Linked DNA regions of Notamacropus eugenii. Each later gene encodes a partner of the first gene's protein in a complex. Links are inferred from orthologs where the notes say so. Each region holds a gene or a part of one and is shown on either strand. Other genes may lie near its edges.

Region 1 (7,018 bases):
ACAGGGTCATGAGGGTCATGCCCTCCAGCCCTGAAAAGGGTATAAAGACTCTGAGGTGAGGTTTTGCTTTGGGGCTAATTTTTTGGAATAAGGTTCATGTGCCAAGAAGAGACTCTGGGCAGCTGCTAAGGAGCCCCCCTCCCCTGAAAACCCAGATGTTGGTGCTTCTATCTCTGCTAATGATGTCAGACTATTGGAAGCCCTGTTGGTCCTTCTGTTTGTAATTACTGCTTTTTATTTCTGTTTGTATTTTCCCTGAAGTTCGGGGTGCCGATTTTCTCCCCTGAACTAAGTGAATGATACATGTGCTTGATTAAAGTGATTGTTGATCCCTCAAAAGTTGCTTTCCTTTTAGAAAAGCACATCAAAGATCCTGTACAGGAGGCCCTTCTGTGTATGCTGGGGTCCCTGCTGTGACACATGACTATTATGGATGTGTTTTACATGACTACATATACATAACTTACATCAAACTGCATGTCTTCTCAATGAGGCTGGGTGGGATGGGAGGGAGGGAGAGAATCTGGAACTCAAAGTTTTAAAAACAAATGTTAAAAATTGTTTTTACATGTAACTAGAGAAAAATAAAATACTAAATAAAAGCCAACCTGAAAAAAATACATATGCATACTCTTCTCTCTCTCTCTCTCTCTCTCTCAAAACAATTTAGAGTGGCTTTGTTATTCCATCAAAAGCAAAGCCTCACAAAGGGCACTGTTGCGAAAAGATGGTATCAAATATTTGTTACTTACCACTCAAGTTAACGACACAAACACTAGTAATTACTATAGGCTAAATATAGACTACTATAGACAAAAAAGTCTAACTAGATAAACATTTTAACCAGAACTCAGATAAATTGTATCTAAACAGGCCATGAAATCTACACCACCAGAGGCAGTATGGCACAATGGAATGAATGCTAGGATCCAGAGAGGAGCTCTTTCCTATGTCAGTTCTGCCACTTTAAGTGATCTTTAAATAAGCCATCTCACATCTCTGCAATTCCCTCGAAACTATGGGCCTCCATCTGTAAAGGTCTCAATCTCTAAGGTCATTCCAGTTCTAAACCCAAGATCCTGTAAATATTTTAAATAAATGTAGCAATTGACCATTCCTTTTCTCTGCTGAATGGAACAGCAAATACTATCAACAGCACATAGCAGCATACATCAAAATGTTAAGTATGCCACCTCACTTCACTTCAGTTATCCAACACACAGCAAAGAACCTGGAAATAAGCAAAAAAGGTCCCTAAACAACAAAATTTGTCAATGTGTTCCTATCTGAACCTCTAAGGCTCTTTATTCTAAATTAAAACAATTCTTACAAGAATTGTAAGACCACAGTTGATTAAAAGCAATAAATTAGTATAACAAATTATTAATAAATTAGCAGAAATCCTGGAGAAAGGTACACACTGAAAATAGTGAAAAGTGGGCAATGATGAAAGAGGCTAAAAGACTATGAAAACTCAGTTGACACAGTACAGAGACCACAAGAGATAAAGCAACGGACTCGAAGTTACTAAGACCTAGATGTGAACTCCAACTAAACCATTTATTGACTAGGAAGAAATCATGTAAACTTAGCAGGACTGTTTCTTCATCTGTAAAATGGGGTTAATAACACCAACTGAAACTACCTCAAAGAGCTGTTTGAGCTCAAATGAGACAATGATGTAAAATGCCTTCAAAACCTATAAAGTTCAGGTATTATTGTTAGGGGCAAATGGCCCAGCACCCTTCCACAGTCCCTGAGAATATAAGCCACTGCAGTAATTATCATAAGTCACTAAGAAAAGGTTAAGTGATGTTCAGCACACTCTGTTTAAGAGGCAGGGATGCAAGGATCCTATTTTGTCAATTTCATCACAAATGGTTACATTTTTAAAAAGCTTCAGTGCTAGATGGGCAAAGTTTCATTTAGCCAGACAATTCACTTACATGAAAGTCAATTTCTTTTTCTCATTACTTCCAAGGATCTAAGATTACATTAATGCAGCTGATCCCGGTGGGAAGGAAGATCACAAGCCCTCCACACCTGAACAGTTTCATGAGTGGCTCCAGGCAAAATTCCTTCACCTGGAAGCCAACCTTCTGAGAACCCACTGGAATTTAAATACGTCTGTCTTACAATTTCATCACTGGATCTATAACCAAAGCCTTTACAGAAAATGGCAGGAGGAGGGCTGTGTGTGTTTAGTTTTGTTTTTTTTAGTACTGTGGCTATAAGGCTTTTGGTTTCTCGTCAGTGACGGTGATAGTTCAAACAATTCAGTAGTTTGGGGGCCTATTCATCCTTCCGTCCTCACCCAGTGGTTGAGCGATTGAACCAGTTCCATTTTCCCTTTTGGGGGAGAAAAAGAGCAAACCTTCCCCTCTCTCCAAAAAATGTGACCATGTTTTGGTCACGGGTGGCTACCACGTAGCAGCCACTCCTGCGCAGCTGTGGGAACTCATCCACCCAACCCCACCCACCAAGTTTTCCCAGAACCAAAAGGAGCCCGCCCTCCCCTGCTCATGACGTGACCCGCCCACCCCACCCCCCAAAGGGGGATAAATTCTCCGCCCGCCTCCACCTCACCCCCCTTCCAGAGACCAGAGAAGGGGCCGGGGGTCTCCAAGCGCAATGACTCAGCCTCCGCCAGGCAGCAAAGGGGGAGGGGCCCCCGGCGAAGGAGGGGGGCCCCTGGGGCGGGGGGAGGGGGCGCCGTTACCTTCGCTCTTGCCCAGAATCCGGCAGCACAGGTTCTGCAGTAGAACGTTCGGGGACTTCTGGTCCGGAGTCGCCATCCTCGCGCCGGGGGAGGAGGGAGTGGGGAAGCGCGCGCCCACGGGGAGGGGAGGGGAAGGAAGGGGAGGGGGTGGGAGACCGCCGCCACCACCCCCCGCCCCGCCCCCTCCTCCACCTGCCTCCTGCCCCTCGGCCCCCTCCCCCCGGCGCGCACCGGGGGCTCTGCCGCGGCGCTCGCCTCCTTTTCCCGCCCACCCACGCGGGTCTCCAGGCGCCTCCGCGGCCGGCCGCTCGCCCAACGCTTAGGGACGGCGCGTCACCGCGGCGCCATTTTAACAGAACCCGCCGAAACTCCCGGCAAGCCCCACAATGCTTAGCTCCGGCACGCCGCGCCCCTCCTCCCAGGCTCCTTGGGTGCAGCTGTCCCGGCCGCGTGCGTCCTCCCCCGCGCCTTGGGCCGCGCCGGGGAAGGTTCCGCGGCTCCCGCGGTCCTCCCCAGCGGCCGAGCGGGGTTCAGAGGGAGCTTGCCGCTCCCCGGGGTCTGCTCGTTAACCAGTCTTCTCAGCCGAAGGTACGGCGCCTCGTTAAAAGGGTAGTTTCAAAGAACCTCCCGTCTCACTGTCAGTTAAGCCATGAAATGAGCCTTGAAGCGCGCAGGGTGCAACCCGGAGAGGTGAAGTGACTTGGCTAGGGGCACCTGGAGAAGCAGCCGTGCCAGTCCTCACGCTGCGGTGCAGGCTGCCCAGATCCCAAAATATCTCCCTAATGAAGCATCCACAGCCCCTAAAATTCCTACCCTACCTTCGGCTTAAGACCCATGAAGTTCCCTTTAACGTTCAGCAGAGAGGAGTGTACTATTGTGGATACAGCGCTGCTTCTAGTCGGGCAGACAGTTCAAGTCCTTGCCTCTAACTTGGGCAAGTAACTGGACTTTTCATTTAAGAGCCATTAACTTCTCTGTTTCAAGTAGTTTCTCAGAATAGCCTTGGATTAGAACTTGCACCTGAAATTGTACGGATAGTGTCACTTCCCGACTCAAAAACCCTTCAGTGGTTCTTTATTGCCCACCAAGTGACGTTCAGAGGCCTTGCCTTGGCTACTTTGTATACATTTTCTATTTACTTATGTGTACTTGCTGTACTCTGATACAATGTAACTTCTTTGAAGACGTCCTTGGCGGAGTGGTTGACTTGTAGTAGGCTCTTCATAAATAGGTGTTGATTGATTTATTAGCATAGCATTCAAACCCCTCAGTGATGCCACCTCAATTCACCTTTCAATTCAATACAGCCAATATTTATTAAAGTAATGTACAGTTAAAGTAATGTACAATTAAAATAAAGTAGTGTACACAGTCAGCCAGTCAATTAACGAAGGCTAGACACTGTGGCAGACACATAACTTAAATATGACACAATTCCTACTCTCATAGATTCTGTGGTCTAGTAAGGAGATAGGATACATATTCAAATGATTATAATAGAAAATGATACATAAGTTCAGAAGAGGTATAAGCAAAATATTATGTAAGGTCCAAAGGAAAAGCACCTTAGGAAAAGATGTATTTAAATTGAGCTTTAATTTAAATTGAGCTTTAAAGGATTTGTAGGAATTCAAGGGTTGGCCCACTAGGGTGAGATTCCCATTCTCCCACCCCAAATGGCTATGTTCCCATGAAATGCTATATGTAACTTTCTTATGATACAACTCTTTCTACAATATATTATGGTTGCAAAGGCTATAAGGACATTAGATTATAGCTGTCAAGATGTTGTATTATCCAAGCTCCTTGTTTCCCTTCACCAAAAACCCAGAGGCTCTGCATTTGGGCAATCATGCAGCTCTGCCTCCTACATAGTCTATGTCAGAGTCTGATGTCATTTTGGGGGATTGTCAACATCTACCACTTAAATCTCTCAGCTAGTTCCTCACCAACAACTAAAAACTCCCCTTCTCCCCTTTTCTTTGTGTATGCTTCATAAGATCCCTTCTGTCAGCACCATTACTTTTTTTAATTAGCACAGTTTTAAAAAATACTCAAATACTTAAATGTGTCTGTCAAGATATTAGGAAACACTCTGTTTTCCAGAGCTAAGACTCAGCAAGCAAGCTGTGCCATAAGCTTGGCATAACAACAATCCTTTGCACTTACCTTCTGGAACTGATGGTCCCTGAGCTCCAGACATGAAGCTCCAGACACGAAGCCTGCAACGAACAGACTTTTTGTCACCAGACAACCCTGCCTCACTGTTGCTACACTATACTGTTTGACTCTTTGTCTAGCCTCAAATGTATAAATCAAGGTTCAGCCACACAAAAACAGGTTCCTCCACTAGGAATAGGGCCCTGGCACATGTGTTCAATCTGCCTCCTTGCTTGTGTGCAATTTCCCTCACTTTGAAATTGAACTTGTTTGATTTCTGACTCTCCTGTCTCTGGCCTGCTCTTTTCAGCTCTGGCCATCCACAAGTTAGAGGCCAGTTGGGTCTGGTTGACAGATCTAAAATTCCATCCATTCAGGAGCTGCTTCCATCAATGTAGATCTCTACCCATTTATGTTTGCCTAGCTTGTGCCACTCTTGTTGCAATGTAGTAGGAATCTCCTTTACTTTCTTTCTCTCAACATCAAGAGTATCACTAGAACCTTCTACCTGTCATCCCTTGCTATTGCCACTGGCTTAGCCTTTCTCTTGCTTTCATACAGTTCCTTACCCACATCGTTCATTCCTAGGCTTTAGAGTTCCCCAGTGACTGTTTGTTGTAGCCTGTACACACACACACACACACACACACACACACACACACACACACACACACACCACCTCTTCCTTGCCTTTTTTTTGTGATAATCACCTTTGGTTCTTTGGAGGCAGCGTGCTACATATCTCACTGCCATATAGCAATGTTAGTAAAGGAGTAAAATTGAAGAGATGGACCTTTGCTACCATAAGAAACTTCGGGTCAGGGAAGGAACTTTGCAATTTCCTGAAAGTAATACAATCTGTTCTCCTCTTTTTCAACTCTGAGCCACCTCATTGTCCTTCAATTCCATCAGTACCAGTTATACGTACTGCTTGACAGGTTCTATAGGGTATTACCCAGATGCATATTGAAATCTTGGAAACAGACATTCTTCATCCACTTGGTCTTTCCTGTGTGGATGGACAAGACAAACTCCTTTGCATTTTTACAGATGTAATTTGAGGAAGCAGCACAATGCAATAAATGCTAAACTTGGATTCATGGGACCTGATCTCAAAGCCTGGCTTTGTCACTTAATCCCTTTCTATCTCTAAGCCTCAGTTTCCTCATCTATAAAATAAAGGGTTTGGACTAGATGATGTCTTGGTTCCCTTCCAGCTCTAGATCCATGATTTTACAAGTCCATGAATAACAAAGCACTGACCACACATATACCAGACTAATCACTTATTCCCTGCTACTATCTTTGCCATAGCAGGAAGGGAAAGAACTTCCTAGAAGTTCAGTTCTAGGAAGCTCTCAGTTGGGAACTGAGCAAAGGGAAGTTCATTCTTGAACAGGTATGGCTTCTTAAATTTCTCTGATGAATAAGGGAAACACAGGTCATTTCAGTGTTTCTCTAGACTGTAGTATAAAGCAGGTATGACTGAAGAAGTAACTTTTGTCATTTTTACCTCTCACTTCCCCAGCAAATCCAAATCTCACCTCCTTTACATGAGATTGAGAATGTTCATCAATCTAAACTTATCTCCCTTTAGGAATGGGACAAAGGGTGCTGGGTTTTCCTAATGGAAAAAGTGCTGCCTAAGTATCAACATCCTTCCAAAGATAAAGAGATGGAGAGAGAAAGTCAGCTACACTCTAACTTTTTTTTTCCTTTTGAGATTGGAGCACTCTATCTCACCCAAATTGGAAGTACAGCAACAATCTGATCCAGCTACAGATCACCACACAAATTCTGACCTGCATGGTTTCCAACCTGGGCCAATTTTCCCATTCTTTGGTAGCCCCCCCTACTCTCAATAGCTCACCATATTGATGCCAGATGTAGTGTGAACACCAAATCAACTATAGCTCTACTTCAGCTCAGAATCCCAGCTAAAGTGATCCAGCAGCCTCAGCCTCCCCAGGAACAGAGACTGCAGGTGAGCTCCATCATGTACAACCTCTGTATTAGCTTTCAAAACATCCACTCCCATATCTCTCAAATGAGTATAATCCAACCCTAGACTTGCCCATCATCTATGGTGCATAGGGACAACCCTATTACATGATAGTTTTCCCTACTAGAGAGTAAGGA
Region 2 (7,196 bases), about 56 Mb from region 1:
TGGGACAATCTATACTCTCTGAAAGTGAACCATTCTTGTAATACATCTCTATCTGGCATGGTGAATCTGCACAAACTACTCCACCTTGCTGCCTTTATATCAATTTAAAGGTTTCATTTTCTACTACTTTTCAAGAGCAGGTTATTACACTTCAGGGCAAGTATACAAAAACTTACCTAGAATGACTTAAATATATAGCTTGACGATGAACGTCTTCTGGATCTATTTCCACAGGATTTATGACAGCAAGTTGATCAATAGACCATCTAAATTTCCCTGGAGTCTTAACAAAAAAAAGAAACGAACATTTATGAATAAAACGGTGAGCTGCACAATGTTTACTATTCTATCAAAAAACTAATAAAAGTCACCTTCAGGAAGACTAGGAGCAGCCAACATTTAACACAATGTTCTCTAAAGCTAGTGACACATTAACATTGGGGTGGGTGGAGGGAGTCAAAAGGGTAGGAGAAGCAGGGCAAGAGCTATGATTTGATCAGAATAGGGAAGCCTGGTATAGAAACTCTCTCCATCAACCTAGATGAGCAATTGATCAGGAATTAGTCTTAGAAAGTTGCCTGGGGCACTGAGAGGTTAAAATATTGGCCCACAGCTAGTAATGCTACATGCAGGACTTGAACCCACATCTCCCTAAACTTCTTTAATATCTACTATGATATTCTGCCTTTACAAAATTAGAATAAAAACTACTAAAACAAAAGGTAATATGGACAAATTTACTAATTTCTATTTTAAATAATCAAGACACTCCATAGGGACGAATTTTGAATAAATTAATAACAACCAGTCAGTAAATAAGAACGTAAGTGCTTGCTATGGTCTGACTTTTCCCAACAAAGAAATATGCTAAGGGAAAATTGTGGATGTAATGAAAAGACCCCTGAAATTGGGAATCAGAAGACCTACATTCAAATCCCTGCCATGTTACGTTAGTGATATGTTGTCTGTCAGTCTTTTTTAGTTGTCAGTCATATCTGACTCTCTGCAACCCCATTTGGGGTTTTCTTGGCAAAGACAAGAAGTTTGCTATTTCCTTCTCCGGTTCATTTTACATGTGAGGAAACTGAAGCAAGCAGGGTTAAGTGACCAGCCCAGGGACACACTGAGAGTAAGTGCCTGATACCGGATCTGAATTCAGATCCTCCTGACTTTAGGCCACCTAGCTGCCCACATTAGTTATATAACTTTGAACAAATCTGATAACTCCTCTGTATGCCTCAGTTTCCTTACTTGCAAAACGGAGTTCAATAAAACACATGAACAAAGCAGAACTGCATGAAAGAAGAGGTATAAAGCATGCCAGTGAAAGGAATCACAGGAAATCATGTAGCAAAAGAGAGAAACGATGATATCAATAACCACTAAAATTTGTATGGTACTTTAAAGTTCACAAAGTAGTTTACATACGTTACCAAGTCAGAGCTCAGGATGAGGCGAGGCAATTGTTACGTGTATTATTAACCCCATTTTAAAGCACAAAAAACAAATCTAAGGACACTCTGACTTGCCCAGGAACATACACATGGCCATTAAATGTGAAGGGGCAGTATGTAAACCTATGTTTTTCTAAGTCCAAGTCAAATACTCCATCCCCTACACCATGTTGCCTCACCAAATTGGTGACATTCATAGAGTGCTTTAAAGTTTGCAATGCAATTTACATAGATTATTTCAAGTCTCACAACAACTTCATGAGGCAAAAGGAAAATGAAATTCATTGAGGTTAAGCGACTTAACTATGGTCAAAAAGTGAAGAGGTGTCATAGGCAGATTTTGAGCTCAGGTTTTCCAGATTCCAACTCCAACATGTAACCCACACTATGTTGCTGTCAGCCATATATGAAAGATAGCCTTTGTCTTTCACTGCATGGACCCCTCTCTAGAAATGTAGAAAAAAATCCCATCTCTTTGGATAGGGCACTCATTAAAATTTATAGGAGGACATAGTCCAATCTTCCAGGATGAGGGCACATATATGAGTTACAAGGCAGGTTTCTGAAAGGAATGTCTACAGTGTGATCAGAGATCCAATGAATCTTCTGTTTCATGGGTCACCATGGACAAATAATGAATTGTTTAACACCCAACCTCTTGTTGATAAGTTTGTCTATAATGGATCCTGAAAAGCACTGAACTAGTCTTAAAAATTTTCTACCTAAGTACAACCTGCCAAATTTATGCTGTTAGTATGATTAAGAATCTAAAGTTACCTTCATAGTAAGACGACATCAGAGAACCTTCCTAGAAATTCAGTAAAAAGTTATAATCCCAATCTATTTTAATTAAATGCATTATCACCATGGAATCTGTGATGTTAGAACTTCCTGATAAAATGTGTCAAGTTAAAAAGATGAACTCAGAGAAATTTTTGCTTTTCTTTAGGCCATCCACAAGGCTTTACTGAATACTACTTTGGGCTAAAACTGAAGAAACTTAGGAAGCTTAAATGACTTCATATTTTTCACAAACTTCAACAAGGAAACCAACTATGGAGACTGAGATGTGCACTGACTCTGAAAGCAGACCTAAGCATTAATCTTAGCTTTGGCACTTCCTAAACATGATGACTGCTGGCAAGTCTATGAACTCATCTTTAAAATGGAGATAACATGCAGCCAACCAAGTGCTTATAGCCATAAAGCACTATTAGTCAGGCACTGCTATTATTGCTATTAACAAACATGTTCTCTAAGTGTCACACTGTTACCTGTAGTGAGGAAATGTTTTTATTTGAATATATTTTTATAAGTCATATGATTCAATTCTTACGGATGAAGATTTTGTAGATTTAAATGCTGAAGGACTGGAGACGATTTGTTCTTGCAGGCTGGAATAATCACTTGGACTTTCAAAAGGATTTAGGACAGTGATCTTTCCCGGAGTTTCCGGTGTTATTTGCATTTTAGCTTCTTTGACATCTCCCATAGCATAAAACTGAAAGAAAATCACAGACAGGATCATCAGTTTTCCCTTATTGAAATCTGACCATAGCATTCATGACAATCCTTTACAAAACAAGAAGAAATGACTACAATGTTAAGAATAAAATTGTGGCTTCCAACAATAGAGGATGGTGTAAAATCTTGTGAAAAAATTTAGAGTGGAAACAAAGTAACCTTCTCCCCCACCCCCCACAACCCCACTGAGGAACTTTGCCACATGCCTGATCAACAAACTTAAACTTCTCTCTAACAGCTTACCTCGATCTACAAGAACTCTGTGGTATTTCAGCAAACTCAGCTAGTCAATTACTCAGGAGCCGTGCTAAGCCATGGGGGCACAAAACAGGGCAGAAGAGGGCCCCTGCTCTGAAGGAGCTCACAGTCTAAGGTGGGTGAACACATGCAACCTACGTACAAAACAAGACTTACAGAGGACAAACTGGGCATTAATAAGAGAGGGAAAGCACACACCCTCTCCATTCACCTACACAGCCTCGGCTCATCCAACCTTCTTTTTAAGGTCTATGCCATTACTCCAAAACAATACGCTTGCTCAGGTCTGGGCCAGTTACAGGCTCACGTTCCCTAGGTGGGCAAGGGGTCTAACGTTTCCAGGACAGGACACAAGGTGGCCTCCATCCCGAGACAGAGGAGGGGTGCCAGTAGGGTGAAACGTGCCTTCCCAGAAGTTCCACAAAGGCAGCCTCGGTCTGCCGGAAAGAGGAAGTTCAGAGCTATCCCCGTTCTCCCCCATTCTCCTAGGGCACGCTCGGCGCGGGAGGACTGGCCAGCAAGGAACCCGGGAAAAAAGCAATCCCGATACAATGAGGGGGTTGAAGGGGGAGCCCCTCCAGAACACGTACCTCTAAGCCGTGGGTGAGAAGCCACGATTCTCACGGTGCGAGAGCTGCAGAGATGGAGAATCCAGGTAGTCCTCCCGGGGGTCCAGCAGCTGCCGCGGCAGCAGCAGCCAGCTACTCTTTAACTCCCAGATTCCGAGATGCCGAGGACCAACCAGGGCTCGGGGCTTCCGGGAGCTCAGCCAATCGTGGCTGCGAGCCGTCCTCGAACTGGCCAATCAGACGGCCATCGCGTAGGAAATTCGAATGGAAACTTCGCGCTTCACGCCCCCATAGTAACGAGGCCCCGGGATTCAAACGAACGCAACTTTATGGAGCGCCTCACGGCGGCAGACACACAGCGCGAGGGGCGGAGCCTCCCTCCGGCGTGAGGAGACGACGCGCAGCCTGATTGCCCGGGAGAACAGGACACTACCTCCTGTTCCGGGTCAAACGGTTCTCCCGCTTTTCCCCTGCCTTGGCGGGCAGTCGCCATGGCAGGGAGTAATAGCGGCGCTGCGGCTGCGGCGGCCGCCGCGGCCAACCTGAACGCGGTGAGGGAGACCATGGACGGTGAGTTCCCGTCCCTGTCCCTTCTCCTCCTCTCCAGTTCGCAGGCAGACGCGGGGCCCAACGAAAGGGGTGGTTCCGTTGGAAGCTTGAGAATAACCCTCCTTTTCCCGGACCGCTTCCCCGACAGCCCCGAGTCGGTCGACGCCTCGCCTTCGAGGGGAGCCTCCACGGCTTCTACGTACGCGGTCGCGCGCGTCGTCCCGTTTCCCCACGTCGGCGTCGCGCTCCTGGCGCCCGGAATGTGCGTGGGTCCGTTATCCCTCCCTGGTCTGGGACCCCGGGGGTCGCGCTCCCTTCCTCGGCCTCCTCCCACTGTTTGCTCTAAAGCGGATCCAAACGCGGTCCAGCGCGGGGGTGCTGGGAGGAACTCTCGTGGCGTCGGGTCGGGCCGGGTCGTGTGTCCACGCACTGAGTGTGGCGTGGGCCACGGGAACCCACGTAGTGTCTGTGCACTGGAGGGTGAGCAAAGTGAAAGGCCCGGGAGCGTCTGGGTGTGTAGGTGGGAACCTGGGGGAAAAGGGCCTGCGTCTGGATGAACGTGAGCCCGATGAAAAGAAGAAAAAGTTGCGGCAGGGCTTGAGTTTGCGTGACTTCACGTGATGAGATTGAAATTCCTTAGGCAGAGATGACTGAAGTGTTTGCTATGAAAGAAATAATAGCTTATGCAAATGGTAGTTTCCTCAGTCTCTGCTCGCGAAGCAAAAGGTGCCGGTCCAGTCCTTGCAGAGGTGATGATCTTTTACAATGTATCCTGATTATTTACAATGTATCCTAATTGTAACTTATTTCTATGCGGTTGTTTGCGTGTTGTCATGGGAGACGCTGGCGCAGGACTGCTCACCACAGGGCCCAGATTGAGACATTACAAAGTAAACATAGAAGGCACAAATATAGAGTATCCACCCCACATATTCCCACCGACTGTCTGTGCTCAACCTGTGGTAGAGCATTCCAAGCTCGGCAGTGGTCTGATCAGCCCGCTCAGACGTTGGAAGTTGAGTTTATGTGGTGATGTCATTTTGGTCCTCTTCCAGAGCCAAGGACCACAATCAACCCAGTTAGACTGAGTTTCTTGAAAGCAGGGACTGTTTCTCCCTTTCTGTGCCTGGAGCACAGAACCTCAAACTCAGTGGACCATTAATAAATACTGTCCACCAGATGTAATTGACTTCCCTTAACCTGCATTATTCCTATTTCCCTTTCTTGTATTGCACTTCCCACTTCAGCATTTTCCAAATATGCTCCGGACTCCCGTCGTTTGAAAAGAAAAATGCCCTTGAAAGACTCTCCCATCCTTTCATTCTCTGAATCTGACTCTTCCCATTTACAGGCCAACTTCTAGAAAAAGCTGTTTATACTCTTTGCCTCCATTTCTTTTCTCAATTCTCAAACCCTTTAAGTCTTACAGCCTCATCACCCAAGTGACACTGTTCTCTTCAAGATTACCCGTGATATTTTGTGGTCTTTTCATATCCTCATTCATCATAAGCTCTTTACAGCATTTTACACTCCTGAATACTTTCTTCTCTTGGGTTTGCTTGCTTCGTTCCTTTTGCTTTTACTAGTCTAACTGCTCCTTCTCATGCTCCTTTGCTGACATCATTCATATCCTACCCTCCAACTAGTTAAGTTCGCTCTCTTCTCTCTGTGTCCTCATTTTTGGTGATCTCATCAGCTCCCTTGATTTCAATTTCCATCTCTATGCAAATGACTTAGAATCAGGGGTGAGGAACCTTCGGGGTGGGGAACCTTCAGCCTGGAGGCCACATGTGGCCTTCAAGGTTCTTGGGTGCAGCCTTTTGACTGAGTACAGTACCAACAAATGCTTTTTTTAGGCCAAAGGTTCCCCACCCTTGATTCCTAGATCCTAGTGGAGATAGCCTAAGTCCCTTACCATCACTGAGGGGATTTGTGATACTGCTCCATTCCTTGGTTCTTTTGCCATTCTTACTACTATTTTTTAATCTTCTGATTTAATCTTCTCTGCTGGATTATAATTGACATCACACTTTCTAACCTCTCTGAAGTTCTGGGTTTACCACTTGTGATCATAATTCCCAGTTCAATATATCCAGTCCCAGTTTCTCCCCTGATTTCACCATCACCAAACTGCCTTTTAGACATTTGAAACTGAATTTCTAGAGACTTCTTAAATTCGACATATCTAAAACAATTTATTATCCACCCTCCCCACCCTTCAGCAAAAAAAAAAGTACCCCTCTTCCAAATTTCCTATTTTTTTGTAAGGCATTATTTTTCTGGTCTCCCAGATTTGTAATGTTGACTTTACACTCAAATCACTCCACATAACTCAGCAGGATTGTTGGGGTGTCATGGTGTGTTGCAGGGTTGTCTTGAAAGAATTCACAAAGACCATTTCCAACCCAAGCAAAGGCATCTATTGATGATAACAATCTCAGAAAACTGGCTAGGCTCCTTAGAGGAGCTAACAGCTTAGCAAAGCAAGACAGGAATTTTTATAGAGCAAATGGTGTTATTAGCATATTGGAATATATGAATATTAAAACATAGGAGGGATTTACTAATATGGGGAGAGGTCCTGGCCTTGGTGGAATTGCACATGTGGCTACCCATAATGCATACAGAAAACCCCCCGGGGGGGTTATTAATGTAGGATAATTATAATAAGCCTCTCTACATCACAAGTTTACCTAAAAGCTATCACTGCACAGGCATCCACTTATGGAAAGAAAGTCCCTTCTGTGATTTAGTGATCAAACATCCTGCTCGGTATCCTTCTGGTGCTGCTTTCTTACTGACTGACTATTGTGGTCTTGCCTAAAACTAGATGGATATGGTT

What was found. Proteins that work in one complex are often made in the same cells at the same time.
Region 2: the proteins of TUBGCP3 (region 1) and MZT1 are in contact, whole or in part, in a cryo-EM structure (PDB 7QJD), measured with the Homo sapiens proteins. The link is inferred for Notamacropus eugenii from reciprocal best matches to the Homo sapiens genes TUBGCP3 and MZT1. Residues at the interface, in NP_006313.1 of Homo sapiens: Lys7, Pro9, Leu12, Leu13, Asn15, Leu16, Cys17, Arg19, Ile20, Leu21, Arg23, Val28, Gln31, Tyr34, Ala35, Val38, Ile39, Asn42, Phe43, Ala44, Pro45, Thr46, Ile58, Leu62, Arg67, Asp70, Phe74, Leu77, Lys80, Leu81; in NP_001065243.1 of Homo sapiens: Asn17, Ala20, Val21, Glu23, Thr24, Val27, Leu28, Glu30, Ile31, Ser32, Arg33, Ile34, Leu35, Asn36, Thr37, Leu39, Asp40, Glu42, Thr43, Ile46, Cys47, Val48, Arg49, Leu50, Cys51, Glu52, Gln53, Gly54, Ile55, Asn56.

The regions. Positions count from the first base shown.
Region 1 is NC_092877.1:209,040,928-209,047,945, reverse strand, and holds the start of TUBGCP3 (gamma-tubulin complex component 3), read right to left. Parts: upstream 3,036-7,018; 5' UTR 2,796-3,035; coding exon 2,720-2,795; intron 1-2,719. UniProt on the Homo sapiens protein: Component of the gamma-tubulin ring complex (gTuRC) which mediates microtubule nucleation.
Region 2 is NC_092877.1:265,287,069-265,294,264, forward strand, and holds the start of MZT1 (mitotic-spindle organizing protein 1), read left to right. Parts: upstream 1-4,187; 5' UTR 4,188-4,296; coding exon 4,297-4,375; intron 4,376-7,196. Other genes in the region: BORA (protein aurora borealis), read right to left, coding at 177-283, 2,791-2,946. UniProt on the Homo sapiens protein: Required for the recruitment and the assembly of the gamma-tubulin ring complex (gTuRC) at the centrosome.